Arabidopsis thaliana: one gene and its partners. The protein of the gene in region 3 interacts with the protein of the main gene of each other region in a pairwise test. Each region holds a gene or a part of one and is shown on either strand. Other genes may lie near its edges.

The links.
Region 1: the proteins of AT4G38810 (region 3) and SNRK2.10 interact in a two-hybrid assay, tested with the Arabidopsis thaliana proteins (one large-scale study listed by BioGRID).
Region 2: the proteins of AT4G38810 (region 3) and SNRK2.4 interact in a two-hybrid assay, tested with the Arabidopsis thaliana proteins (one large-scale study listed by BioGRID).

The regions. Positions count from the first base shown.
Region 1 is NC_003070.9:22,435,975-22,445,887, forward strand, and holds SNRK2.10 (SNF1-related protein kinase 2.10), read right to left. Parts: upstream 6,248-9,913; 5' UTR 6,134-6,247; exon of another isoform or gene 5,961-6,133; 5' UTR 5,923-5,960; coding exon 5,803-5,922; intron 5,616-5,802; coding exon 5,541-5,615; intron 5,438-5,540; coding exon 5,336-5,437; intron 5,109-5,335; coding exon 5,055-5,108; intron 4,954-5,054; coding exon 4,861-4,953; intron 4,716-4,860; coding exon 4,623-4,715; intron 4,129-4,622; coding exon 4,024-4,128; intron 3,945-4,023; coding exon 3,846-3,944; intron 3,769-3,845; coding exon 3,424-3,768; 3' UTR 3,089-3,423; downstream 1-3,088. Other genes in the region: FED A (2Fe-2S ferredoxin-like superfamily protein), read left to right, coding at 8,591-9,037; IRT3 (iron regulated transporter 3), read right to left, coding at 9,436-9,891.
Region 2 is NC_003070.9:3,655,239-3,664,817, forward strand, and holds SNRK2.4 (Protein kinase superfamily protein), read right to left. Parts: upstream 3,371-9,579; 5' UTR 2,933-3,370; coding exon 2,813-2,932; intron 2,576-2,812; coding exon 2,501-2,575; intron 2,387-2,500; coding exon 2,285-2,386; intron 2,193-2,284; coding exon 2,169-2,192; intron 2,095-2,168; coding exon 2,041-2,094; intron 1,947-2,040; coding exon 1,854-1,946; intron 1,774-1,853; coding exon 1,681-1,773; intron 1,533-1,680; coding exon 1,428-1,532; intron 1,345-1,427; coding exon 1,246-1,344; intron 1,163-1,245; coding exon 812-1,162; 3' UTR 575-811; downstream 1-574. Other genes in the region: TMN1 (transmembrane nine 1), read left to right, coding at 4,084-4,173, 5,087-5,279, 5,384-5,488, 5,812-5,829, 5,924-6,021, 6,103-6,255, 6,483-6,617, 6,767-6,933 and 4 more; FD1 (ferredoxin 1), read left to right, coding at 9,207-9,579.
Region 3 is NC_003075.7:18,112,495-18,123,539, forward strand, and holds AT4G38810 (Calcium-binding EF-hand family protein), read right to left. Parts: upstream 6,667-11,045; 5' UTR 6,367-6,666; coding exon 6,121-6,366; exon of another isoform or gene 4,590-6,120; coding exon 4,290-4,589; intron 3,983-4,289; coding exon 3,758-3,982; intron 3,656-3,757; coding exon 3,527-3,655; intron 3,341-3,526; coding exon 3,113-3,340; 3' UTR 2,789-3,112; downstream 1-2,788. Other genes in the region: AT4G38790 (ER lumen protein retaining receptor family protein), read left to right, coding at 19-99, 227-351, 435-483; MTN1 (methylthioadenosine nucleosidase 1), read right to left, coding at 861-1,058, 1,151-1,243, 1,315-1,389, 1,493-1,567, 1,810-1,916, 2,076-2,167, 2,251-2,314, 2,403-2,502; AT4G38825 (SAUR-like auxin-responsive protein family), read left to right, coding at 9,118-9,387; AT4G38820 (uncharacterized protein), read right to left, coding at 9,137-9,358; CRK26 (cysteine-rich RLK (RECEPTOR-like protein kinase) 26), read left to right, coding at 9,845-10,664, 10,800-10,943.

The DNA of each region.
Region 1 (9,913 bases), on a different chromosome or scaffold from region 3:
TGCAATTAACGAGATAAAAAAAAAAAAATCAGACATGATATCAGATGTTTCATTAGTCCTTACATCTAATTCCTTCTTGCTGTATAAGTTCCTAACAACTTTTCTGTGTAATGTATTACAGCCTATTGAAGAAGCTAAATCATTTTCCAAATAGGACAAAGCAAAGAAAAAGGGAATATAGTTGAAGAGTGATGGGAATGCGAACCTCTTTTGATGAAGCTGTTCAACATGATCAGGGCCCAGGTCATAAGTATTGTCGAGGATTTCATTTGATATTGCAAGCAGCGTATCCTTCATTTGTTCCACATGGGTAGAAGCTTCAGGACAAAGCCCTAGCTGCGTGGATATCAAAGCAAACAACATGAGAAACCCAATTGGTTTATGAAGTAACTATGGAGAAAATGAGAGAATTGGTAGCATACCTTTATTCCATGACTACAGTTGGAACATATTTCAGGAGGCAAACCTTGCTCTTCTTCTCTTCTGGAAGTAAATATATCCACAAACTTAGATACTGATGGTTGCTTCGTACACGTTGAAGGGCAGTGTTCCATCGCAATCTGGTCTACGTCAATAATCTGCGCTCCAAAGTTAGCACATGTTGAAGTTAATCTATTCTGTTATTCGGCACAAGTAATTATGAAAAGATTTCATTTTAGTTCACTGAAAAATGGTGCAAACTCTGTAAAGAGTATCCCACAAACTTTTTCATAATATATGTTACATTTTACTGGTACTACAAATCCGAATTGAGAAAAAGTTTCTTGTTCTCATAGAAAAAGTACTTATGATTTTAAAAATTTTCCCTAGTTGTATAAAGAATATTACCTCCATTATGTCATCATAATCAATCTCACCAAGACTAACTTCCCTAGGCTCCACCGGTCTGGCTAGTTGTGCAGAATTTTTGATTGGTGGCATCTCCATACCATTTGTAACAGTTACTGAATCTCTAACCTCATAGTTGACCCGTGGAACCTTGTCAATAATTATTTTATTATCACCTACGGAAGAGGAGGAGAAACTGTCAATTGATTTTGCAGTGCCTCTTACACTCCTTTGACTATGCTCTGGATGATTGTGTGCGCAGAAAGATCCATCAGCATTGGATGTAACTTTAAAAGTGGATCCTTTCGTAGAAGATGTACGACTAGTGCTGTCATTATCAATTGCAGGAGTAATGCCAGGTCTCAGGTAGGTATTATTTATTGATAGATTTATAAGAGTACACCAAGCCTGAAAACATTGGATAACAAAAGTTATATATATGTACAATGATTGAAGTAAGGCTTCTCTGCCAGGGGAAAATCAATCTGACAAAAACCAGAATTTAATTGCAATGGTGACCAAAATTCAGAGACAGGAAATGGAAGAAAGTACGCTATAGACAAGAAAATCCTCCACAACAAACATGCCGAAAGGTTTGGATTACGTTAAAATTCTGTTACCATCAAGAGTTTTCCTTCAACTATAGTACCTTCTCAATTTGTGGTCGTGCCAAAGTTTGTACAGTTACAGGAGCGATGTTTTCAATTGACCTAGACATAGAGAGAAACAAGTTTTTCAGACCACTTCAGCTAACAGACTAATACCTGAAGACAACAGAGAAAACCTCACAAGAGTTTCCATCACTGAATTATTTACTAGAAAGATCAAAGGATGATATTATGAACAACTAGCTCTCTTTTAACTGGAGGTGTTGGAAGTAACTGAAGAATGAATACGGGATTTTCACTCATAAAGAAATAGCCTTATTCTAGCTCAAGATCTCCTATATCCAGAATCAGAACAAGCAATAACACAGGTTCAAACGAAGCTGGAAAAGCTAGATGTTACAGCGTGGTGGAAACACTATTTATAAAGTCAGCGGGATTAGTTATAAGTAATCTTCACCAGTAACCAAACAATTGAACAGAAATGGATACAAAAACGCAAGAAAAACATACAGAAATAGCTGATTGGTCCTCAAAAGAAGATAATGCATTACCTTGCAGCCATTTCTCTATCTCTTCCCAGCTTTTGACTTTCTAGAGAGTAAAGGAAATTGGAGCCCATAAACTTATTTAAGGATGGTATACACTCAAACGCCTTGGCAACTTTCAACCAATTTGTTTGAGGAAAGTGACTTCTGGAATTATTAACTTCATGGAGATGACTCCCACTGCATTTACACAATCAGGAAGAATAAAACAAAAGATCCGTGAAAAGTTCTTTATAAAACCAAAATGGACAGGGATATGATCAATTTTGCCTCATTTTATTAGCACCGATCATAGATTTACATGCCAAAGAGCTTCCAGCAAATTTATCTCCTCTTGTCACCACCATTTACTGTACAAAAACAAAACAAGTGGCATTGCGATTAGTTGAATCTGATGAAATTGTAACATAAACTGCAGAAATTGCATACTGTACCAGCTGGAAGATACAATTGTGCCGATTTTGAGCTGTAATCATGATCGCTATGACAATTACAATACACCACAACGAATTTGACGATTAATTTCAAAATCTATGCATAGGAAAACGAAGAACTAACCAAATCCAGAAGCTAATAAGTTCTCCAACTAGAAGATGAAGCGATTCTGCTATAACTAACGAAAATTCCTCTTTACACACAGACGAACACCGAACAATACACTCAAAAATTATTCGCAAATGAATCGGTGTGAGAAAAAGCGAACAAAAACCCCTAGAAATGACTGGGAAACGGGAAGATCGAGATTACATTTTCAAACAGATGAAACTCTAGTGCTTCTGCGGCGAAATAGTGAAACTCCGGCGACGAAACTTTTCCGGTAAGATCACGAGGCGAGAGAGAAGAAAGAGCGCGTCTCCAATTACAGCTTTCTGCGATTTTCGTATGGCGGGATAGTTAAAAAGGTTCACTCTCTCTCTCCCTCACTTTCACAGACATCAAAAACAAATATATTTTGATTTCAAAGGAAAATAATTCCATGTATCGGTTTTAAATCCATATTTTAAAAACAGCAACGATAAATTTTTGAAAAATTATAACATGACAAAATAGTATTACACGAGATTTCAATTTCACAAGTATAAAAATGTTGTAAATTGTAATTTTTAAGCTCTGTTTGTATATGAAAATTAATTAGCAAAATAAACAAGGTGAAATCTGAGGTAATTTGCAAAATAGACCATATAATATACAAAATATTTTATTCGCCCAAACCGAACTTATCATCAAACCAGTTTGTTCTTTCTTCTACTGCAGATTTTACAAGATTTTCAGAAGCAAAATTCCAAAGCATTTATGAGACTAACCTTAAAAATTATGACCAAGAAAAGAAAATAAGAACTCAACACAGAGCAAGAGACAAATTCGACAGACCAACGAAAACTTTTTTTTCTTTTTTTTTTGGTTTTAGAATACTTTCGTGAAAAGAAAATCAATCTTTTTTTTTAACTGACTCGGACTTCTCCCATGCTAGCATGCACTTGCTTCACCGTCTTATCATACTCATCTTCTTCGTCTTCTTCTTCTTCTACTTCCTCAACTTCTTCCTCTGCATCTTCCTCCTTGCCCTCGGCATCTTCTCCTCCTCCCCACCCAAATGCTCCAATCGACCGAGAAACACGAGCTGGAGTTTTTGCCTCTTCCACAATCTTCATTATCTCTTCGACGCTTTGGAGTGAGAATGTCGGGTTCTCTTTCCTGAAGTATGCAGCTTGAGCTATTTCTGTAAGTTCCCTTGGCAGGTTCTTTAGGAACCATGGATGTTTCTTGATGTCACCTATCGTAATCCTCTGACAAGAAAAATGATAAGTTATACAAGTAATTATCTCAAAAAGGATGGACAAGCTTTTCGACAGAGTGATGATACCTTATTCGAGTTGGTGACAAATATACGGGAGAGGAGATGTTTGCAATCTTGTGAGATATGGACATAGTCCGGGATCTTGTACTTGACAGCCATTATTCTCTGTAACAATGTGGCACAACGATCAGTGGTGGTGTCGTGTCAACTCTTAAGCAAAGAATGCAAAAACAAAGAAACCTACTTGTATTGTTTTTTTGAAGTTTTTGGGATCCTCTTGGTCTTCAAATGGGTATGCTCCCACCAGCATGACATAAAGAGTCACACCACAAGACCATACATCAGCCATCTGAGTGAGAAGGAAGAATATAAGTACCAAAACTCTGATGATTTCTGTGAAGTTGATGTTTCCAAATCCAAACAATAAGATCATAACAATTTCATAGAGCATATGGGTCAAGATAAGTATTTGGGATCCATTGCGTTTCTAAAAAATTCTTTATGCATGGCTCAAGGCTAGAAAGCTTATAATTATCAATGAACAAACGCACTTAAAGAGTCGAGAAATGCAAAAAAGGAATGGCGATTAAATGATAAAAAATGGAAAAATAACACATTCTGGTCCTGGATAATTAAAAAGACATGTTTACTGCCCAAATCTATCAAGGCCACAGCAGATATCTGCCAATATGGGCGATACCTTCTTGATGTATAAACATATTATGCATGAGAAAAAGTTGAAAGAGCTACATTACTACGCAGGAAATTTTTTCAAACTATGATGTCTCTATCAAGATGCTAAGCATACTTGATATACTAATACTTGCAAACCAATAAGATTACCTTGCCATCATACTCTCCGCGAGAAAGAACCTCAGGTGCAATATATGCTGGAGTTCCAACAGTTGATTTGGGCATAGAGTGCAACAGTGAGGACTACAAAAGAAGAAAAATAGCTCACATGGAAGTGACAAGGGGCCTCGCAAATGGAGGGAAAAAGAAGAAAGAGGAGCTTGTTACAACAGGATAAATTAAGAAATCACTAGCACATTCAAGTGCATGCTGGAGATATATGGCAGACCTTGGAATAACCAAAATCACAGATCTTCAGGCGTGGAGCAGGACTTCCATCTAAGAGGGTATTTTCAAGCTTCAGATCTCTGTGGCATATTTGCTGTGACAATAAGGAACTAATGCAAGTAAAGGACTGATACCGCAGAAATTATGTATATCTGTGAAGTTAAAAAAACTTCGTAACCCATTTCTTTCTCTTACCATAGCATGACAATAGCTGACTCCTGAGATAAGCTGCTGGAAAAAGTATCTTGCCTGAAAACAAAGATGTGCACAAAAAGCTATCATAATCGGAGAAGCTGCTCCAAATGATTTACAACACATATTCCTTTTGCTTCCTGTACTACAAAACACAAATATAATTCTACAAGATTTCCGCTTTCCTTTCCACTCAATTAATCTCAGACCACAATACAACTCTGAAATTGATCATTTAGTACACCACCATGACTTAAAATCTTTAAATGCCAGGGGAAGCTCACCTCATCCTCACTGAATCTTCCAGCGCTACATATACGCTCAAATAGCTCACCGCCAGCAGCATATTCCATAGCAATGGCGATGTGCGTTGGTGTCAAAACCACCTGGAAATGCCACAACAGTGAACTTAGGATACCAACTTCCGCTGAGACTAATCACCATCGGTTTAAACATGACACCATGAAGCCATGGAAAAAATGCAGTTACCTCCTTAAACCGGATAATATTGGGATGACGAAGTGATCTGTGGTTAATAATCTCTCTCGCCACGTTCTCATCAATCTATTCACCAAAACAAAACCAGAAAAAAAAGGATTGAAAATCACATACTCAATCTTTGATCTTATAAGACAATGAACCAGTACTATGCTCACAAAAGTAAGAATCCCAGATAAACGAAGCAGAAGAACACTCCAACTTGCAAAATTGCACACGTAAAAGGAAGTAATTTGAGAGTTAGAAGAAGAACCTTAGGTCCACGCTCGATGTACTTCATAGCAACGAGTTCCTTGGAGTTTTTGACTCTCATGAGCCTCGCCACTCCAAAATTCCCAGCACCGATGTCTTTAACAAGCTCGTACTTGTCCATTTTCTCGTAGCGAAATCAAACAACAAGCCTAATTTCCACTACACAAAGTCACAAACCCAGAAAATCAAGGGATGCGATTCAGAGGTTTTTCGCGATGGCTAAAAAAGGCACAAAGTGATAGAATGAGATTTTGAAAGCAAAAGCGAAATTGTCGATATCCTTTTTTCTTATCCGTGAAGAAATTCCAAAAGAAGATATGATTACGAATTACAATGATGATGATGATGATGATGATGCCGTAATAATCTCCATCGTTCCTTGCTGGCTTCTTCTCTCGAAGTCACGATGGCTCTTATTTTTTTATTATTTAAGTAATAGTTTACTTATTGAATTATTTTTGGTTAATTTAAGAGGTATATTAATAAATGTGGGACCTACAAATTCCAATTCTATCGGTTCTTTAGTGACTGAGACGTCGCTATATGTGAAAAGGATATTTTAGTTGTCACAGAATTGCGTCTATTTCTTATTTTTTCATCTTTTTGCAATTTGCCGATTCTACGAGAACATCATTTGTTTATTGGATATGCTTTTTTTAAAGAATCAAGAGAATACGAAAACAACTTGTACTCAAGAATGTTTACTATAATTCTCTAGTGGATCTTTATAAGAGCTGGAGATTAGTTTGGATTTTATCTTAAAGTATCCAGTTATCAAAAAATGAGATTGTTAGGACTTTTTTTACCCGAGAGTATTTAGTTACAAAAAAGAAAGTTAGTTTAATATTAGATAAACTATAATTGCAACTAACGGTCAGTAGAAAGCTATATAAGTTATATAACGAATCTGAATATGACTTAGTTATCTTGTTGGATTGTCTAGATATGTTTTTGCCTTTTACGGAAAGATTCGATTTGGAACAACTTCTGAATTAACCTGAAAAACGTAATTAAACATTGACTTGTTGGTTGTTTGTAGAATGGTTGGTTTATACTTTCCGAATGTGGCTATGTGAAATCACATTTTGATTATATGTATAAAGTTGAGATATAATTTTAAAATTTGCAAAAAATTATTAGTTTTGTTAAAATAATAGGAGATGCAAACTAAATAAATTCTCTTCTTAACTAAAAAAGCAATAGATTTGTTACATTGAATGATGGATAGATTTGTGAGTTGTGACTTTGCTTAAGCTACCCCAACAGATAACGGATATATCATATAGATGTTGAGTAAGAAAGAAAAAAAAACATTTACGATTGCATTCTCGTAATGGGCTTTATGATTTTAAGGCCCAATAGATGAAGTAAGGCTAATGCACAACTTTAAGAAACGTAATTCTAGCAAGTGTTTATCGACTGCGTTGTAGGTTTCTTGTGTTCGTGGCACTATGGATTAGGTTTTAATATGGTTTCTAATTTCGTTGATTTCAGTGGCATAAGTCCAGTTGTTGCTTGTGGCAAACTGTTTCATGTACAAAAACACTTACATCATTACTAAATTATGTCATGGGTTTGGTTTCGTTAACAATAAGTCAATCTCCTTGATGAGTTTTATCTATATGATTATCTATTTGTCTATTTGCAACATGTAGTAGATTGAAATGGGGCTGCAAAATATGCTCTTGCAATTCCTAGTTAGATCTAGCTTTTGATAATACGATTATCTAATTTGTCATTTCGATATGATAGATAGATTGTTTTTAAAAGAGATCTCAACCACTTTTCTTTAACTAAAATAAAAAATTTAGTCACTTTTTATTAAAAATAACTAAAAAGTTTTAAACCTATCAGGACACTTCCATCAACAGTATTTAAAAGAGATATTTATTATTAAAATAATACAAAGTGGTGAAAAGAAGAGAGAAGTGAGAATCGTCTCTGTTTTCAGAAACTCTGAAAAATGTTTATGGCCACGTGTTTTTCCAGAAATGATTGATTTTATTCTTTTTATTAAAATTTAATACTTTATCTAAATTCAATTAAAATAAGCAATATTTTATTCATGAGAAACTCTTTTTTGAGAATCAACCGATGTAGATGGTCTCATACTCTACTTTGTTGATTGTGTTTAAGTTTCTGAGGATTTTTCTACTTTCCGACGTTATGCCAAGAGGCTGGTCTTCACTAGAAAACTACTTCCACCCAATTCAAGCAAGTATGACCTCTTCTCCCAACAATTTATTCATGTACTGAAAGGCCATTAGAAGTTGACTGAAGTGTGAAGGTGGAGATTATGTATTCACTTGTTGATTTGGTATACATTCTATGTAAGGTTCAATTATTTACGTTATATAATTATAATGGAGTAATTTACAGTAATTGGGTTAAAATGGTTTGATTCGGTCAGGTTGATACGGTTTGGAAGTTAAACCCGGCCTAGATATGATGTTACAACCAGTCCACATCTTTTATGATTTTAGTGGAACAAACGAAGAGTTATTTAGACGATACAAACAAGGTCCGAATAAGTGTGAGCTGTCCCAAGTAAGACCACGTAATACTCACCTCAACAAGATAGTGTTCTTAAAGTGTGTCAAACACAATCACACACACACAAATCATAAAACACAAAGACGATAATCCATCGATCCACAGAATAGACGCCACGTGGTAGATAGGATTCTCACTAAAAAGTTCTCACCTTTTAATCTTTCTCCACGCCATTTCCACAAGCCATAATCCTCAAAAATCTCAACTTTATCTCCCAAAACACAAAACAAAAAAAAATGGCTTCCACTGCTCTCTCAAGCGCCATCGTCGGAACTTCATTCATCCGTCGTTCCCCAGCTCCAATCAGTCTCCGTTCCCTTCCATCAGCCAACACACAATCCCTCTTCGGTCTCAAATCAGGCACCGCTCGTGGTGGACGTGTCACAGCCATGGCTACATACAAGGTCAAGTTCATCACACCAGAAGGTGAGCTAGAGGTTGAGTGTGACGACGACGTCTACGTTCTTGATGCTGCTGAGGAAGCTGGAATCGATTTGCCTTACTCTTGCCGTGCTGGTTCTTGTTCGAGCTGTGCTGGTAAAGTTGTGTCTGGATCTGTTGATCAGTCTGACCAGAGTTTCCTTGATGATGAACAGATTGGTGAAGGGTTTGTTCTCACTTGTGCTGCTTACCCTACCTCTGATGTTACCATTGAAACCCACAAAGAAGAAGACATTGTTTAAGCCTCACCTACTCACCAGCTTTTGATGGTTTAAAAATCATGTCTTTATAAATTTCACATTTTGGGTTGAGTTTGTTGTTACTAAAAACTATTGTTATCTGTTGTTATTGTTCCTGGTTTGGCTCACCATCAATCGATGACATTTTAAACTATGCAACTGCAAATTCTGCAACACTTTCGATGAGAATCTAACATTATCGTTTAAACATTGGAAATACATTTTCTTGAAGTCTAGCTAGCTTTGGTTTGTAGTTCTTATTCTGAACTCAACAATCATCAAAGTATCAAGAAAAATCCGATTTGCGAGCAATTGTGAAATCTTAGATTGATAAATTCTCTAGAAAGAACTATACATGTTATTTGTAGCTATAGAAGAAACTATGGAATCTTATACTCTAATTAAGCCCAAATGGCAAGAGAAGACATGAGTCCAGCTCCTAGGAACAACATTACATAAGATACAATTTGAAGCCTAAAGTTACACCTCATTTTTGTACTCAAGAAATCAGCAGCTATGAGATCCACTAAAGCCATGTACACAAGAATTCCGGCTGAGAGCGAGTCCAAGATACCTTCAGTGACCAATGCTCCGACACTGTGAGAATTGAAAGACGACGCCACTGCGGTTCCAATCCCGATCCCTATCGGGGTTGTGAGGGCGAAAAAACAAGCCATTATGGTCGCTGATTTGTTCCTGAATTGCGCTTGGGAGATGCATCCACCGAGCGCAAATCCTTCAAAGAATTGATGGAAGGATAGTGCTGCGATTAGAGGCCGGATTGTGCAAGGAGACTGAGATACTCCAAGGGATAGACCGATGATTATGGAATGTGACACAATTCCAAGCTCCAGAACCTAACAGTATTAGCACAAATTT
Region 2 (9,579 bases), on a different chromosome or scaffold from region 3:
TAAAATACTCCCAAAAAAAAAAACAGGAAATTGAAGTGAATCGATCAGTCATGAGTCTAAAGGATTAATCTTTACCCATGCGAAACGAAATCCCTAATCGACAACTAAATATTAACACTCGTAGGACGAAGAAACGCAATCGGTGTGAGAAAGAACAAAACGAAAACCCTAAAAATGACTTTGAAACGAAAGCCAGGAAATACATTTTCGATTCAGTGGAGTCTCTTGCTTCTGTAACGTTGCTTTTAACACTCCGGCGGCGAAACAATCAGGGAAGTCGGCGAGACGAAGCACAGGATAAAATGGCCACCACCGACTTGAGCTCAAGGCCGTAGAAGATTATCCGGTTTCCTAATGGCGGGATATTTTCCCTCTAATATATTCACATTTCGCATCAGAAACAAAAAAACAAAAGAAAACAATTATTTTTGAATTCCGAACATTTCAATTTGATTTTTTGTTGACATTTGTATTTTATAGATTTGCATTTTCAAAAAAATGATAAGGAACGAAAAAAAATAAAAATAAGAAATCCAAAAATCAAATACATGAATCTTTTCGGAAAATAAAATCTAATTTACAAAAATATTTATTGGAGGTCACAATGTTCATAGTACCATGCGTAGCAAAGGACTCATTCTCATCATCAACCTCTCTGTTTGTTCATCTTATACTGCAAATTTTACAAATCTCCAAAACCAGAACCAAAACCTTAGCCAAAGCATTGTAAAGGCAAACACGAGAACAGAGACTTTTCAGTTTCAACAAACCAACGACGACTTCTTTCTTACACAGACCAAAAACCAAAATATCAACTTATTCTCACTTCTCCACTTGCGTGTACTTCCTTTACAGTCTTATCGTATTCATCCTCATCGTCTTCCTCTTCTTCCACCTCCTCCTCTTCCTCCTCCACGTCTTCTGCATCTTCCTCTTTTCCATCTGCATCCCCATTTCCTCCCCAGCCAAAACCTCCGATGGATCGGGAAACAGGAGGCGGTGTTTTGGCGTCAGCCACTATCTTCATGATCTCTTCAACGGTCTGAAGGGAGAAGGTTGGGTTCTCTTTCTTGAAATATGCAGCTTGAGCTGTCTCTGTGAGTTCCCTTGGCAAATTCTTTAGGAACCATGAATGTTTCTTGATTTCTGCAATGGTGATCCTCTACGAAACAACAAGTAGCTCAATTGTTCAGAAAAATCAAAAGGCATCTTTGAAAACATTTAGTTCAGTTGATTGATGTATACCTTGAGTGAATTGGCGACAAATATACGGGAAAGGAGATTTTTACAATCCTGTGAGATATGGACGTAGTCCGGGATCTTGTACTGGACAGCCATTATTTTCTGTATAACAAGATCACACATTGACGAATAGGATGTGGCGAAAGCGAGATATGCAGATACATGGCTTCAAAAAAGAAACCTACTTGTATTGTTTTCCTGAAGTTCTTGGGGTCTTCCTGGTCTTCAAATGGGTATGCTCCAACCAGCATGACATAAAGAGTCACACCACAAGACCATACATCAGCCATCTGAAAGAAGAAAAAATGCTTCAAATCTTAGCGACTTCCACAAAGATGACTTTTTAAATTCAAAAGTAAAAATGTAAAGAGCATGACAATATCATAAATACTCATGGGTTTATGGAAGTTCATTGCATTGTGCATGATGCTTGATTACCTTGCCATCATATTCTCTTCGAGAAAGGACCTCAGGTGCAATATATGCTGGAGTTCCAACTGTTGATTTGGGCCTAGAGTGCAGCAGAGAGGACTAAAAAAAAGAGAATAACAAATCACAAAAGAGGATCTCGTCGACAAGGGGGGAACTTGGATTTTTTTTTAGTGTCAGACCTTGGAATAACCAAAATCACAGATTTTCAGACGTGGAGCAGGACTTCCATCCAAGAGCGTATTCTCGAGCTTCAGATCTCTATGGCATATTTGCTGCAACAAAATAGTCAACACATGATTAAAAAAAAACGACTTCAAACAGCCAATGGATAAGTAAATTTTGCTTAAGTCATTGTCTCTACATTACCATAGCATGGCAATAGCTAACACCTGATATAAGCTGCTGGAAGAAATATCTCGCCTGGAAAAGAGAGAAAGGATTAGAACGTAGACCCTAACTGTTTAATGCCTGATACTAAATAAAAGGAGGTTCACATGTTTTCTCTTGTTCCCTTCCTCCTAATCTTTCCAAAGACCATGCAGATTATCCTAAATACTAGTAATTTCATATTCGCAAAAGCACAGCACAATTTTTCAAATGGCAAGCTCACCTCATCCTCACTAAATCTTCCAGCACTGCATATACGCTCGAATAGTTCACCACCAGCAGCATATTCCATGGCAATGGCAAGATGGGTTGGAGTCAACACCACCTATAAAATCCATAAACCCAACAAGGAATGCAAGATGAAAGATATAAGAGATTATCAACAAACTTTTTCATAGCAAGAACACCACCCATGTCAAGCAACAAGAAATTCACTAACCTCCTTGAACCGGATTATATTCGGATGGCGAAGTGATCTGTGATTAATGATCTCTCTTGCCACATTCTCATCAATCTGTATCAAAAAAAACAAACAAAGCAAATACTCATTGTACAAATCTTTTCAGGAAAAATATTACAACTACAAGATAACTAACGTTACGTTAAACACCCAATCAGCTAACGATAAGAAATTTACAAAAAAAAATCGACTCTTCTGCTTAATAGCAATTCATTCCAATTATGCATATCTGGGTATAGGATCACCAGCTCATGGAGAGCAATGAAAACACAAAAACAGAGAGGAATATACCTTAGGACCACGCTCGATGTACTTCATGGCAACAAGTTCCTTAGAGTTTTTGACCTTCATGAGCCTGGCAACTCCAAAATTCCCAGCACCTATGTCTTTCACCAGCTCGTACTTGTCCATTCTCGCTCGACAACCCTAATTCCAAACACACAAAACAGAAAGGAAAAACCCAAACAAAAAAAAAATCTCCAAAATTCTCGTTGAAATTCAAGTCCAGTTCTAGCAGCTAAGAATTTCACGTGAAAATGAAACAAGATTAAAAAAAAAAAAAACAGTATCCCAAAATCAAGGATGCGATTCCGAGATCTCGCGATTCGCAAAGAAAGTGGGAAAAAAAAAGGGAAAGAGATGACGATGGAAGGTTAATTTGAGATTTGGATTGGAGAGATTTCAAGCCTAAGCGAAGAATCAACTTTCTTTTTCTTTTTTTTTTCTTGTTGGAATTTTTCTTTTTTCTTTTTTGGGGTGAAATTAATAGAGAAATAATGATGAGAATGAAGAAGAATCTCCCCTGCCTAAACAAACTCCCATCATGTTTTTTTTTCCATTTATTTAATTAATACGAGATTTTTTAAAAGAAAGAGGGACCCACAAGTTTCCATGCGATCCATACATGTTTGTTTCCCTTGCTGATTCGAGTGTATAACTACGTTTTTTTTTGTCACCAACGCGCTTTTTTTCTCCCTAATTCAACACTTCAACTATACACTATTTACACGACACGAGTGGTCAGCAGCAAGCAAATTCGCCTTAGATTCTTTTGGTTCTATATAGAGAGAGTCATTGTCCATAAATCACATTTTTCTCTATGAAGATTGTCACTCAAACGTAACCTTTTAATGAATTTATGTCATGATTTTCATCTACTTTTAACATTTTTCAACATATATACAAAAAAAGAAGAAGTTATGTTCCCATGTGTGAGTGTATATTTTAATTGAAATGACATAGTTCGTGCGCGTATATGAAAACATTAATAGACCTTATATGGGCCGCTAAACTAATATACACTTGTTAGAACGAAAGGCCCAATCAATTAATAGAGCAAACATTAAAAGACCTTATATGGGTTTTAAACTTAATATACGTTTCTTAGTACTACAAGCCCAATTAATTAATAGAGCAAAAAAGAAGTTGTAAGCCTTATCGTTGTTTTTGTATTACCCAAAATCTCTACAAAGTGAAAACACTGAGCTGAGGATCTCGCTCTCTCTCGATTGGTATCTCTCGCTCCGTCCTTCCTCAGATCTGATCGTCCGCCGGTTTTCACGATGCCGTCTTCCTCCTCCGCCGCCGTCCTCGTGTTCCTTCTTCTCGTTTCCCTTCTCACTCCTACGTTCGCATCCGATTCAGATCACAAGGTAAGACTCGGATCTCCAGTCGTTTTTTCTTTTCTTTTAATGCAGCTCGAAATCGAGCACTGTGTCCGTAGATCCGTGATTTGCATGGTGTTTGCGATTGAATTTTTTTTCATGGATCTGTTCGTTTACGGATTGCTAGGATCCTCGAGCTTCTATTCATTGTGATTTAGGCGTATCTTTTCGTTGCAAGTCTAGGCGTATTTTGTCTATTCATTGTGATTTAGGCTTTTCACAATCTCGATTTTAATAAGAAATTTTGATGTTGGTTTGAGATTCTCGTTGATTTCTGCACGTGGTAGCCTGTTTGATGTTCAAATACTTGGATCAACACTGAGTTGTGTTGTAATTGAGTGGCATTTAATGTATTAGCATCTTCGAGATGTAGATCTTATAGTTCCGAGGTCGGGTTGATGATTTTTTTCAATTGGTATCTAAAATGTGATACTGAAAGTGTCACACATGGCTTCTTTTGCTGATGGTCAGTTTCAGCTCAAAATTGTTATTGCCTTTTGTGATATTGGAGATCATGAGATCTAGCTTTAATGCTTTTGCTCCTCTGCCTTCTTACGCTCGCAAGTAGTGTGACATTTAAAGTCGATTCCAACTATATATTTTCTGCGTGAAAGATGATAGATAAAGGCGGGTTATGCATTATTCAAGAGCAATCTGGTAGCATTATTCAAGAGCCATTATTTCTATGGAACCATCATTTGTGTGAAGACTTTAACTCCTGATTTTTGAAATGATATTGAACGTAGCCTTTATCAGTATCTGTCTGTCTACGTTTGACATTTTGTTCTGTTCTCTCTAATGGAATTTTGGTTCTTACTCTCTCTTACTAGTTAATCCCATAAACTTTTACATTTCTGTGCTTTTCTGTCAAGTCAATTTTTTTTGCCTTCACCTTTTTCAGTATCAAGCCGAGGAGCAGGTCACCCTATGGGTAAACAAAGTTGGCCCATATAACAATCCACAAGAAACATACAACTATTACAGTCTTCCATTTTGCCGCCCATCTGGAAACAATGTTCACAAATGGGGTGGTCTTGGTGAAGTTCTAGGTGGAAATGAGCTGATTGACAGTGAGATTGCGATAAAATTCATGAGTACGTTTCAATTCTTATACAAGCTTCTTTTTCATACTAGTTAACAGTTATCGTACATTCGTACTTATTCTCTAGTTACAATACCTTTTCTGTTTTTTCCACAGAGAATGTCGAGAGAAGTGTCATCTGTCCGCTTGAACTCGATGAAGCTAAGGTCAAGCATTTTAAAGATGCCATTGAATCTAGCTACTGGTTCGAATTTTTTATGGGTATGTTTCACGTCTGTTGTACATATTACCACTGAAATTCATGAAAATAATGCTGATTTATTATCTATGATGTTGCAATTTCCTACTATGTAAAGTTTGGAAACATTTTGTATCTGCTGAGTTTTCCTTTGGTTCATTTTTACATCATGCAAATCTAAATTATTCCGATATCTAACTTCACTGCATTACCAATATCATTTACGGCATTGGATGTTGTAGGATATATAATCTTACATAACTTCTTTGGATTGCTAACCTTATTTCTCACCTTTTTCTGTGGCATCTGATTGGCGTGGACTTTCATCGGGTGGTTCTAACTTCAGATGATCTACCTTTGTGGGGTATGAACTTTGTATATTTACTTGAAACATCCAAAATTTATTATGTTCTTTGTTTGTTTTATATAGTTTTAATACTGTCTCATTGCTGTTGTAGGCTTTGTGGGTGAGCTGCATCCTGACAAAAATAGTGAAAACGGCAAGCATGTTCTTTACACACATAAGAACATTGTTGTCAAATACAACAAAGACCAGGTCGGTTGTTACCACGCCATTAAGCAATAGTATGGATATCATGTGAACTACATCTGTGATCTTATGTATCTATTTTAATAGATCATTCATGTTAATCTCACTCAAGACAACCCAAGGCCATTGGAAGCAGGGAAAAAAATGGACCTGACGTATTCTGTGCAATGGATTCCAACAAATGTCACATTTGCTCGCCGCTTTGACGTATATCTGGATTATCCGTTCTTTGAACACCAGGTAACTTTTAGCATGCTATGAATTAGTCTTGTACCCTTCTGCTACTGTCTGTGATTCCAAATGGTTCACTGGTTTATAATGTATCACACTGAATACCCCATTTCATGCTTGTTCATAAGTGCAAGCCATAATTATTCTTCCAAGAATCTACCAAAGTTCTATATTCCATCTCTTCAAGATTTCTGTTCAAGCTTTATAAGCCTTCTGAGAGTTTGTTCTTTTTGCAGATCCACTGGTTCTCCATCTTTAACTCGTTCATGATGGTTATTTTCCTCACCGGTTTGGTCTCAATGATATTGATGAGGACTCTCAGAAATGATTATGCGAAGTATGCTAGAGAAGATGATGATCTTGAGAGCTTGGTGATGTTTCCTCAACTTTTATTTGTCATTAGTTGCACAATTGTTTTTTTAGCTGTTAATACTCTCTAGCAGTCTGTCCAACACTTCTTTCTTTACTTCTAAATGCAAGGCTTCATAGCCATTTCTGACGTGAGTATTGATGGGCACAGGAACGGGATGTAAGTGAAGAATCTGGTTGGAAACTTGTGCATGGAGATGTGTTCAGGCCAGCAAGTAGTCTAGTTCTGCTCTCAGCGGTAGTTGGTACAGGTGCACAGTTGGCGTTGCTGGTTCTTCTTGTCATATTAATGGCCATCGTGGGAACTCTCTACGTTGGGTATGTATTACACTATTCTTTTCTCTTGAGACCAATTTTGTGTTGTTGTTTTCCCTACATGCGGTTGGCTTGTATATTGGATTTTGCTCACCTCTTATTCTAATTATTTCAGGAGAGGAGCAATCGTCACAACTTTCATAGTGTGCTATGCTCTGACTTCTTTTGTCTCTGGTTATGTGAGCGGTGGAATGTACTCAAGAAGCGGGGGTATGACTTACTCGACTTGGCGGACCCCTCCAGTGTTACTTTCCTCTCTAACTATTCAAGTAATTTAAATGCTGGTTTATTCAGGTAAACATTGGATCAAGTGCATGGTCCTCACGGCTTCTCTCTTCCCCTTTTTGTGCTTCGGAATTGGCTTTCTCCTAAACACAATTGCCATATTCTATGGATCTCTTGCGGCTATTCCTTTTGGGACAATGGTGGTTGTGTTTGTAATTTGGGGGTTCATTTCCTTCCCCTTAGCCCTCCTCGGAACGGTTGTTGGAAGAAATTGGAGCGGTGCTCCTAACAATCCATGCCGTGTGAAGACTATTCCACGTCCAATCCCTGAGAAAAAATGGTACTTGACTCCATCAGTCGTCTCCCTGATGGGGGGTTTGCTACCCTTTGGAAGCATCTTCATTGAGATGTACTTTGTCTTCACATCCTTCTGGAATTACAAGGTAAATATAGTTTCTCTTAATAAGAACAAAGTTATGGAATTGCAAATTCTTATTCCAATTGGCCAAACCGGAGAGATTTGATTAGTGAGAGACTCTCAACTTTCAACGAAACCCCTAAAAATCTACCCCCCTTCAGCAATCTGCCTAACCAGCGTTTGTAATCCAGCCCTCACTGAATGCATATTAACCAATCACAACAGCTACATTAAGACCTACGCTAGTTGTAGTAGACTTCTAGCTAAAGTTTGAGCAGCTGTACTTCTTTAAGTAGGACTAACTTTGTCTTTGCTAATCATATAACGACGAAAGTAAATTGTAGTGGCTATTTTTGAAAGTTGTCTGTTTTTGTTTGTTCGACAGGTCTACTATGTGTATGGATTCATGTTACTGGTTTTTGTGATTCTCGTCATAGTGACGGTGTGTGTGACAATCGTGGGTACATATTTCCTGCTGAATGCAGAGAACTATCACTGGCAGTGGACTTCATTTTTCTCTGCTGCTTCGACGGCTGTCTATGTGTACTTATACTCCATCTATTACTACTACGTAAAGACCAAGATGTCCGGATTCTTCCAGACAAGCTTCTACTTTGGATACACCATGATGTTCTGTCTTGGCCTTGGAATCCTTTGCGGTGAGCTCACTCTCTTCACTCTCTTCAAACTAGCGAGTGGTGTTATTGATTTGACTAAACCTTCGTTATGTGAAAATTTTGCAGGAGCTGTTGGCTACCTGGGATCAAATCTGTTTGTAAGGAGGATCTACAGAAACATCAAGTGCGACTAGAAGAGGTAAACGGAAAAAAAGAGAAAACAAATCCAATTAGAAGGAAGCTCTTACGAGGTTATATATTATATTGAAGGAACATAATATATTCTTCAATGGGGGCTTTTTGTCTCTTCATCTTCTTCTTTTTTTTTTTTTTTTTTTCTTCCCATTTTGGTAAGTGAATTGTTCTCTTTAGATTAGAATCGAGTGGGTGTACTATACTACTACTACCTGTAATCTTTTTCCCTATCTTTTTTTGGTCGTATTTACTTCACTTCACTTAGATCATTGAATATGGTGTCATCTAGGAGCAATTGGATCATTTAATTATTGTCATGTGTTGGGCCTTGGGAGTCGTTAACTCTCGTTCATGGTGTTAATTTGGTTTCACGGGGTGAGTTTATTGGGTTATATACGGTGAAGTCCTTCTAAGAAAATTCTGACTCAAGTCTGTTGGGAAATTACATGCATTGGCTCAATCTGAAAATTTAGTGGGACCTGCAAGCAATAAAATTGCACAAAACAATTTGAAGCATATCAGCAATTCTTTTTCATAAATAGCAATTTAGAACCCAAATAAGCCTAGAATCTTCCTAGTCCCATATTCTGATGGAGACTTGTCCCAAGTCCAAACCACATATTACTCTCACCAACGAAAGAGGGCACAATGTAAAACAAAGACATAGAGACAATCACCAAGAAGATAACACAAGAGCCCACACATCGTACGCCACGTGGCAGATTCACCTCTTTATAATCCTCTCTCCCTCACGGTTTCTACGACATTTTCACAAAGCCACACCAACTCACTCACAAAATCTGTAGAATCATCTTTCAACAATGGCTTCCACTGCTCTCTCCAGCGCAATCGTAAGCACCTCTTTCCTCCGCCGTCAACAGACACCAATCAGCCTCAGATCCCTCCCGTTTGCCAACACACAATCTCTCTTCGGCCTCAAATCTTCCACCGCTCGCGGCGGCCGCGTCACGGCCATGGCTACCTACAAGGTCAAGTTCATCACACCTGAGGGAGAACAAGAGGTCGAATGCGAAGAAGATGTCTACGTCCTCGACGCTGCTGAGGAAGCCGGACTCGACTTGCCCTACTCATGCCGTGCCGGTTCTTGCTCAAGTTGCGCCGGGAAAGTCGTCTCTGGTTCTATTGACCAGTCGGACCAGAGCTTCTTAGACGATGAACAGATGAGTGAGGGCT
Region 3 (11,045 bases):
CGTCTATTTGGTTTTCAGATTGTTGAACCGTTCACGGCTCATTATGTTTTTGCACTTGGAGTAGCAAGGTTCCTCAGCTGTGCCCACTGGGTTTTACAGGTTAGTTTTGATCTTCAAGAGTGGATAGAGGTTATACCAATAGTGGTGATTCCTATACTCGATTGGATTAGTACCTTAAAAGTCGATTTTGAATAGCTGAATACATTGTCTAATGTGCTGAAAATAGGTTGTGGACACGCGGGGACGGTTGCTTGTAGCATTGGGTTATGGATTGTGGCCATCAATGGTTCTGATCTCAGAAATTGTTCAAACTTTCATCTTGGCAGATTTCTGTTACTACTACGTCAAAAGGTACGCATTAGTCCTTCACTTCAACAGTTTAGCTATTTAGCTCTTTGTATATATCTCAAAAGTTTCAACATTTTTCTTTACAGCGTTTTCGGAGGCCAGCTTGTTCTCCGGCTACCGTCTGGAGTAGTATAAGTTCAAAAGATAGAAATACCCCAACGATGTCCTGCGATGAGCTTGACGGAAATTCTAATTGGGAAAGATAGCTCAATTTTTCTTTACCTCTGATTTCATCGTTTATGTGTCTTGAGGTTTCACCAAGTGTCTCGGTTACGAATTAATTTTACAGTGTTGTATATTTTGCCTATCAAGGGATTTAACGTCTTTCAGGTCGATAAGTTATCTTTGAAATTGTTTCTTTACCAAAATTTAAGCAACACTAGGGAGAGAACGTCTTATAACTTGAAATTTATTAACGAGAAATATGATCACTGGAAATCAGTGAAACTGCAACAAGCACGTTGAACGCATTTTAAAAAATCACTCTCCATAAAAAAGGAAGAGAACAGAAGTTAAAGGTCCGAAAGGTTTCTCCCATTGATGAAGTTGATCACTTTAGTAGCAGTTCCCTCTAATGCAGCGGTCACAACTGTCAAGTTCTGCAAGAACTCTTCTGCTGTAGGTTTATCTCCGTCCACTAGATCGGTCACGGCTTTGAGGAACACGACTGGTATTTTCAGAAGATCAGCCACATACGCCACGGCAGCACCCTGAAGAATCCAGAGCCAAAAGAGTTTCAAAACAACAGTTTCATTGATTTTCTGGTTAGATTCAGTAATAAGAATTGTTAACATTACACTACCTCCATGTCCTTTAGCGTAGCATCATTGGCAATGATCAATGTTTCATCTTGCGTGGACATATCCAACGAGTCACCAGTAGATAACCTGCCAATCTGAACCACCCCAATTTTGTCAAAATTGAAATAGTTAAAAGAGTAAGTAGCATCTTGAGTCTATTAAATACCTTCAAATTGAGTTCCTTGAGGAGATTGGGTGTCGAGAATGCCTGACGGAGACCAACTCCATACAGATCAAACATCTAGAGAGATAAACAAACATTGCTCAGGAACTTGCAAGATGAACTGGCAAAAAGGGAATCATCACTAAAGATGGAAAAAAGAAAGAAAGGAAGATGAACCTACCGGAATTGGTATTCTTCTATCATGAAACACAACATCAGATACAAGGAATACATCGCCTATGTTGGCTCCTTTGACCTGCAAATGTTCAGCCAATCAGCACTTTCATTACATGAAAATAAACCAACTTTCACAACATAAAAATAGAGATATGGAGAGAGAGAGAGATCTTTTATGATGCAACTCAAATCTCAGAGTTGAGTAAACGAGCAGTAACAAAATCAAACCCAAACCACAAGTAAAGAAAGAAGAGAGGACGTGGTTCTTAGCAAGGATGCTGGAAGTCAAGACAGAGCACACGAGAAGTAAAAGAACTGTACCTTGAAGCCACCGCAGGTTCCGGCATTGATTATGATGTCAGGTTTTAATGCTTGGATGGAAGCAAAAGTTATGAGAGAAGCTGGAACAGTTCCAACACTATCGATCCCTGGAGAGAAATCTCAGTTAGTAGCATAAAAAAAGTGCATTCATTTTCCCTCATACCAAACAATGCAGCGACTTGAGAAACCAAAGCTACTATACTAAAATGCTGAGAGATTCACAGGCTAATTATCATATCTTTGAGAGCATTGAGTGCAAAGCTTACCTAAAGCTGCATCTCTTCCGGGGCAAACTACATTGATTCGAAGATCTTTATGCACGCCGTGATACAGAACCCAGGGCAATCCTTTACCAAGCCTGCAAAAAAGTAAACTTTGAAGTGAGAGATTCATGGAGATCAAATCCAAACAAGCAAAATCGAAAAAAGGAGAGCTCTTAACGGCGAATCAGTAGTTTCAGAGAGTCCGAACTTGTTGACCAAAGGAAGAGCCTCCGCTTGCATAGCTGCAGCTCCGTCAGAAACACACAAAAAGTAAGTAAGAAGACGAAGAAGAAATCGATCGAATCGGAAACTTCATAAATCATAAAGTACCGATGACGAAGACGACTGAGGAGATCGGTCGAAGAATCTCCGATTGAGCATCGACCTCAGGTTCTTCGATGTCACTTAATCCATCTCCATGAGGAGCCATAACCTTATCCCTCTCTTCCGATTCTCGGCGATGCGTTTGATTCCCAGGAAAAATCCGAGAATCGGAAAGAAACGGCTGGAAACTCCGGCGAATGAGAGATACAGTTTATTCGTTTTTGGACCTTTTGGTCCTCTTTTGTGTTTCCACTTACCAATAATAATATAATAAAAACAAATTATTTTTTTGTGCTAATGACCGTAATTAATTAAATTTAGCTAAGTTTTTGTACTAATCTGGTCTCCTTGTAGTTTTAGCCAAGCTCTTGTAATCAAATTTTCAAATTCTTCAATTAACTTCAGAATATTTATTTCACACTTTTAAAGATAACTCAAATGTTTCATCATAGCCATTCAAGCATCATAAACGTAAACAAATTTTAACGAAATTAAAAAACAGAGTAAACATTGCATCCCATGGTCATTAGAAAAAAAAAAAAAAAGGCATGAGTAGAATCACCACACCAACAAGAGGAAACCCCAAACTTTCAATTTTATACATCTGAAAGTAAAGACGGTTTTCCTCATTAATCTAAAACTTTTGGGGGTAAACACTCAAAAGTCAAAACCATATAACATTTGTTGCTGCTAGTGCTGCTTATTCCCTTCTATGATTAGTTTGAAGGCTCCTCTGTATCAGTCGAAGTTGACGGCAGAAAGGTAGCCGAGGTGAGCGGCTCGTGAACCACCGAGTTAGAGGAAACCGATATGGGACTACCCTCGAGCTGCAACATTATACTCCCCAATATCTCTGCCATTGTTTTCTTAAACTCTTCTTCCTTCACCACATTTCCATCATCTCCATTCACCATCTTCAACGCTTCCATTATCATATTATCCATCTTATAAACAAAAACAAACTTAACTAATCAATGCCGTTCAAAAAATAAAAATAAAAATTCACTAATAATTTTTGATTAAAACACTAATTCTGGTTTCATTTGTTTAACAAATAATTGTAACATGTAAATTCAAAGGCAAAATAAACAATTTAAAAGACAAAATAATTTAGACGGGGCATTATTTACCTGGGACACAGCGCCTATTGGTGGTAAAGTGGCCGATGGTGCAACAGTGTCAAGCACAGCTCGTAGATATCCTTTAGACACCTTACCCTGACGGTCTTTTGGAATCGTCTCCATGGCAACGTTTAGTGCCTGCGACCAAACCGTTCCGGATCATCATCACTCGTTACCATCATTTAAAAAGTTTTCCTTTAGCATAAAAGCTAGATAACATATATATGTATGGTAGTTTACCTTATCGAATTCGAATTTATTGGACAAGAGCCTCCTGATACCGCTCCCATCAAAGGTGTTTTCGCTGTGAGCAACGATCACGGGCTGTTCATTGAGACGCTGAGCCACACTCTCCACGACTCTCTTGAATGCTTCCAAGAATCTCTCCTGAGACGCGCTTTTCTCTCTTTTATCTTCTTCATCAAGACAAGAGTCAACAATTGGTTCTACGATGTTGCTCATCACCTGTTACAAGGACTTTGCTTTTTAGGCAAAACTCAGTTGTCTCTAGCAACATATATAACATCAAATACGAACTTGGATACATATTACGTATCATATGTACTCCCACCATGTAAGTATCGTTCTGATATTTTGTACAACAAAAAAAAAACACCCGAAAAGTATTTTTACGGTTTTGGTAAAAATACAAAAACAAACGGTTCTTAATATTATATGCTTTATTTTATCAATCATATAAATTTAGATTTGAAGTTAAATTAGGAAAATCCATAGCTTAACAGAAATATATAAAAATAAAATAAATAGGTACCCATGGGTCGTTGGAAGGAGGCATTCCATGATCAACAGAAAGAGACTGGAGAGCTTTGACGATACAATCACGGAGCGATGCGTCCTTGCTACTGGAGAGCTCTGAGAAAACAGAAATGCTCTCGATTTCATATCCAGGGCCGTGGACAAACTCCGAGAGATCCTCACCGTCCATCCTGAGGATGACGATAGGATCACGTTTCAGACCAGCAGCCATACCCAACAAAATGTCCGACAACACTTCTTTGAACTCTGTCTTGCTCACTTTCTCTTGACTCCCATGAGTGAATTCGTTTAGGACCTGTATATAGTTTATTATAACGTTACAAACGATGAAAAATAAATGTACGGATAAGACAGCTAGAGGGTTATTGGTTTAATCTCGTTGTCTCTTCTTTAAATACACCAAAAGCTAAACCTAACGATAAGTAATTGGATACTGATTTGTATCCACTAAGAGAGAGATTCGTATTCAGATTTACTACTTCTTCTTGGATATCTTTGCAGCTAATAACTACAAATCTACAATCAATGTCCTCTTGATCTAATTAATTAATCCACGTGATTCATGCGAAACACGACGTAATTTGGGGTTTCCATGTCGATAAAAAAATATTACTATTGTACTTGTAACTTGTTTTTGGTCCACTAAATAGTTTTTGTGATACTCATACTCGTACGTTTTTTTGTTGGATATTCGTAAAATAGGAAACGGCGTTTGATTTCGTCACAGATTATGTCATAAATAAGAGGATTGAAAAATGTGATATGGGATATTGTTTTTAAAAAATGTCAAGAAAGTCTTGAACGAAAATGAAACCTTACGCAGACCGAATGCTTAAAAAGATAAAAGCTTTAATTGATAAAATATTAATTATTTGAAAAAGAAACCTTTTTTCCGTCAAGAAAGGACAAGCATTATACTGGAAATTGTTGAGTTCACCTAAATTGTATGAGTTTAGCCAAACTAAATAAATAGAGAAAAATAGTCATACATAAGTAAATAACGAATAAATAAACAAAATACTATAACAGTCTTTATACAGTAACTAGTAAAATAATAACTAGGTGATGATTTATAAAGCGATGTTTCAACACTGAAACGACAGGAGAAGAGCGACACGAGGGGCTAGTTTGAGATATGATAGAGGATAAGGTCACCGACCAAAGCTATTATCATTTCTTTAAAACAACTAACTGATTCTATTATTTTTTGACCTAGTTTACTGTAAAGAAAAACACATTTTAATATTAGAAAAAAAAAAATATATAGGATGAATCCACCAGACCACCACGTAAGTATCAAGAAGATAACTTAAACAACTATGGTAAAATGGTTGAGGTTTTCTATATATAATTTTATATGATTTACGACTTAGTATGACCTTTCGAAGATCCTAAAAATCTATGCACAAAATGGCGAGAGTTAAACAACCTGTGTCCCTCGGTATGAGAGGTTCGACTCCATCTCACAGACTAGTGACAAAGTTAAAGAATTTGCAAAGGGCATATATAGACCCCAAGAAGAATTGTTAACAGTTAAATGAATACTGAAATCAAATAAAAATAAAGATGTAACACAAAAATTAGATGCGAACATTTCTAGTTAGTAGTTAGTACGCCGGCCAATTTGAAAACATTTCTTACTAGCATTAAAATATACGGTAATCGGAAAAAATCAAAGATCACATGATAACCAACAATTGAAAGATCAATAATACAGGAAAAGTGATTAAGAAATTAAAATGCTAACATATGTATATGCAAATTAGTCGGACTGGACCATAGATCACGAATATAAAAGGTATTAAGAAAGAAGAAAAGGAAATTACCTCGGAGTAGATGTGATCGGAATCAGGAGAAGTTCCTTGAGCAGGCAAACCAAGAGCAGCGCCGATATCAGCAACGGCGGGTTGTAACTCAGTCACGGAGAGCTTACCATCTTCATCTTGGTCTAACTGTTGAAACTTTTGTTCCACAAACTTGTCGAACACTTTCTCGTTTTCCACCAGCTCAACTATGTCCGAGCCATCAAGTACTTGTTGCTGTTGCTGGTGGTTGTTGCTTTTCAAGTCCATTTATGGAATCTTTGCTTCTTCTTTCTTTATCTTTACCTTTCTTGAGTCGCGAGAGCCTTGTGAGATATCTCGTGATGGAAGCACGAGAAAAGGAAGAACAGAAACTTGACACACCCAAAAGAAGAAGGAAAACTCCTTTTTTTCTTTAAATCCAAGTGTGTGTGTGTATGAGTATTTTGTTCTGATTTGGTTCGGACTTGCCTGTTCTTTATATGTGTATAGAAGTCAGGAAAATATTAGTTGTTAATTAAAAATGATTAAAACAGAATTTATAAATTTCTTGCTATTTATGACTAAATTTATATATATTGAGTTTCCGACAAAAAAAAATATATATATATATATATATTGAGTTCATTTTATATTTGTGGACTCGCCACCACCAAACGTATATTAACCATATATCCTTAGCTAGACTATAACTTCGAAAGCATCTTGTGTTTTTTTCCCCACCTAAGATTACCTAAACTAATCTGTCATAAAAGTCTAATTTAATATTCATGAACTTCTTTATCCAAAAAAAATCATTGAATTTCCGTTCGCGTTTTTGTCATTTTTTGTAACATGATTACATGACCGTATCTTTTCTTTTACATAAACTTTTCACACAATCTGGATTACTTACTCATGGGGCGTGTTAGGTTCGCTATTTAACTTCAGTAACCGACAAGAAAATCATAAAGAACACGATGTTTAGTCATAATGACTGTGTCTTTTTAGCCAATGGTCGGTTCCTTTTTAATATCTTTTTCCGACTAATGTTTGGCTGTATCATTTTTTTGAACTTATATTCCGACTACTTGTAATTAATAATATTAGTTGACATGTAATTAAATACACGATCATGACGTATTATAAATAGAGACCGACGAACTAAGCAAACTCCAGAAAACATAAATGGAACATCGAACAATCTTGACCACTTAAGCTACTATGTGGATGTGGTCCGTATGACACGGGCAATAACACTTGTGTGCATACATGCCAGTCCACGGATAAAAATATAAAATCAGTAACCGAGTCGTGTGAATTAATTATATTTTCCACATAACTGACGGAGCTAAAGATTTCTGACAAGAGCAATTTACCCTCTTGATTTGTGATGACGTGTCAATCGTTGATGAAAAATCGTGGGGACACTTGTTGCTAATTAATCCTTCTGTGTTCGTCCTTCATTGGTCGGCGCCTCTGAGCTGGCGTCAAACACTTCAACCAAAGTCAAAGCCGGCCGGCTCTAGTGCGGCTATCTATGGATTAAGCAGATTTTCTAAATCACGGCAATTAAATTATTAGATTTTTTTTTTAATTGACGTGATTTTTTAATTATTAATAAAACGGAGAGAATAATTCCAAAATTAAGATTTGACATTATTTTGGATTTCACAAAAGAAAAAGAAGAAAAACCAAAAACATATATATATATATATATATATATATTTTGAATAATAGATAGGTTAAATTTCGAATTACTTTCTATGTTCTTTTGTAGATGTAGATATAAACCTAATGCCGACAAAAAAATGAAGAAGATATAAACCTAATAATTAGAAGTGGAGGGGTTGTTACCATACACATTCTTCAACGTAGGATAGATTCATAATAATTTTAACAAGAAAACAAAATGTAAAAGGACAGAATCCCTAACATTTCCCTTTTCTGGTACAAGCTACAAAAGGCGACTATGCCATCTTTACAAAACAAGAGGAAATGAGATATGAGAGACCAGATTCTACAACTTTGTTCCACTCCAAGTAGCTTTCACTAGATTGTAATACCTTTTCGTTTTATATTTTTGCTAAAACCCCTTTTGTTTTGTTAAATACCTACCGAAATACATACTTTCGATCCAACTTTTCTTATACGGGACTGGAAATGGTTTACGCGGGCCGGGATCCATACAAAAAATGTTATAAGTTTATATTGTATCACTGAGAATTGGGCTTCGTTCTGATAAATTTTGAATTAAGGCCCAATCACACAAGTAGAAACGCGCTATCGGCGATAAGCTGTCGATCTCGCAATTTTCCCCATTCGCTTATTTCTTCTTCGAACTACAGAGGGGATCCTTGAACGCCATGCAGTTTTTCTGCGAAAGAGAGAAACATCGTGTTATTTAGTTGGTTGCAACTAGTAACGGGATCGCTAATCCCATAAAGCGCCACACAGTTAAGGTGCAGAGAGAAGAACGACGTGTTGTTTTAAGCGTGAAAAAACGGCGGGCCCTCTGTCTTTTCTATTTCTCTCTTCTCAACACTTGCAGGACAGTGCCCTCACGGATAATATGGAGGGTTAGTCAGATGGATAATGGATTATCAATTATGTGTAGCCACTTGGCTACTTGACTCAGTGACTTAGACTTTTCAGGTGCTGTGTAGGTATATAACATAAAGGTCCCACGTACATCATCTACATACCATTCCAAAGAGATGTATATGTGCCATCGACAATTTCATGTGAAGTGCGCTCGAAGTTGTTGTTAGTCTTCTAGTGTCATGAATTCTTTTCAGATATAATCCATATTCAATTATCAGTTTATAACATGCAAGACAGAGCCATGTGAATTCTTCTTATGCATGTCCCACTCTTGTATAAGAAGCCCACGGTTTCTATCACATGAACGAAATTGGTTGTATATATATATTGCATTGTTTTCATATCGTGAGCATAACAACTTCTTCATCTAATCTGATAAGCTAAAGGAGACTTCTAAGCTGAATCTTTTTCCAGGATCCATCAGAGCAGAACAAAAAAATGGGAGTGTTCCGAGGTCTTATGGGCGCAAAGAAGATCTTTCAAGGTCGATCAATGGCAGCTTCGACACCAAAAGGGTTTCTTGCAGTGTACGTTGGAGAAAGCCAGATGAAAAGATACATAGTGCCAGTCTCATATTTGAACCAGCCTTCATTTCAAGCTTTGTTGAGTAAATCTGAACAAGAGTTTGGGTTTGATCATCCAATGGGCGGCTTGACCATCCCTTGCCCTGTAGATACATTTATCACCGTCACTTCTCAGCTTCATTAGATCCAATTCACAAGGATCACATATATGTAACAATTTTTGAGGTCATTAATTAGATGTAGAAGATATTTAGAACCCAGCTGTGTAATTACTTACATAGAAGATAACATTTATCGTCTGATATTTGCCCCATCTTTTCTCCTTCAACATTATATACTATAATTTAGGGGAACTCTGACAACATGCTGATTAACAAGTAGTTTTTATTTGCTGACAAGAAACAGAACAAGTTGTGCATTACAACATAAAACTATACTCGCCATCCGCTCCATGACATTGACACGAGCGTCTAAAATCGATAAACAAACTCATAATTCTATGAATTATTGTCGAATTTTCAAAACAGCCTAGCTTACAATAAACAAACGTTTCAAAGATGAACAGAGTCAAAGGTCAACGCCTAATGGCGTGTTAAATCCCGTTCTAACAATTTAGACAATGATCAACAGAAATAACTCAGATGTTGTCTCTTCTTCTTCCTCTGATCTCACTCTTATTCCAAATCCAATGCTTCACCGTTAAGTCGCAACCGGTTCCGTTAAACCAAATATGCTCAAACGTCACAGGCAACTTCACCGTTAACACCCCTTACGCCGTCAACCTCGACCGCCTCATCTCCTCTTTATCATCTCTCCGACGTAACGTTAACGGATTTTACAACATCTCAGTGGGAGACTCCGATGAAAAAGTCAATTCAATCTCACAGTGTAGAGGCGATGTCAAACTTGAAGTTTGCATCAACTGCATCGCAATGGCTGGAAAAAGACTTGTCACGCTGTGTCCGGTTCAGAAAGAGGCGATTATTTGGTATGACAAATGTACGTTTAGATACTCAAACCGGACAATCTTCAATAGATTGGAGATTTCCCCTCACACAAGTATAACGGGAACAAGAAACTTCACCGGAGATCGTGATAGTTGGGAGAAATCTTTAAGGGGTTTACTCGAAGGGCTTAAAAACAGAGCCTCTGTTATTGGTCGGAGCAAGAAGAATTTTGTTGTAGGCGAAACGAGCGGGCCTTCATTTCAGACATTGTTCGGTCTGGTTCAGTGCACACCGGATATTTCGGAAGAGGATTGTTCGTATTGTTTGTCTCAGGGTATTGCAAAGATCCCAAGCTGTTGTGATATGAAAATGGGTAGTTATGTGATGTCTCCTAGCTGTATGTTGGCTTATGCTCCCTGGAGATTCTATGATCCAGTGGACACTGATGATCCAAGCTCAGTGCCTGCAACGCCATCACGGCCGCCAAAGAATGAGACAAGAAGTGTCACACAAGGTAGGGTTGCTACTTCTTATGGATTTGAAAGTTTTGAACTCTAGGATTCAAATCAGACTGTAGAGATTTTTTTATTTCCCAATGTTACAGACTTACAGTATTAAACATTTTAAGTGTGTTTTGGTTTTTGTTCAGGGGATAAAAACAGAGGTGTACCTAAAGCTTTGATCTTTGCTTCTGCTTCAGTTGCTATTGTTGTCTTATTTATAGTACTCTTAGTCGTTTTCCTAAAGCTGAGAAGGAAGGAGAACATCAGAAATTCAGAAAACAAACATGAAAGTAAGCTATCAAAATCGGATATGAAAGGAGATTTTTCGTGTGTTCTGTTTTACATGTTTTTTTTCCTTCTGTTTCCTCTGTTTCAATGATCCTTTGATATTT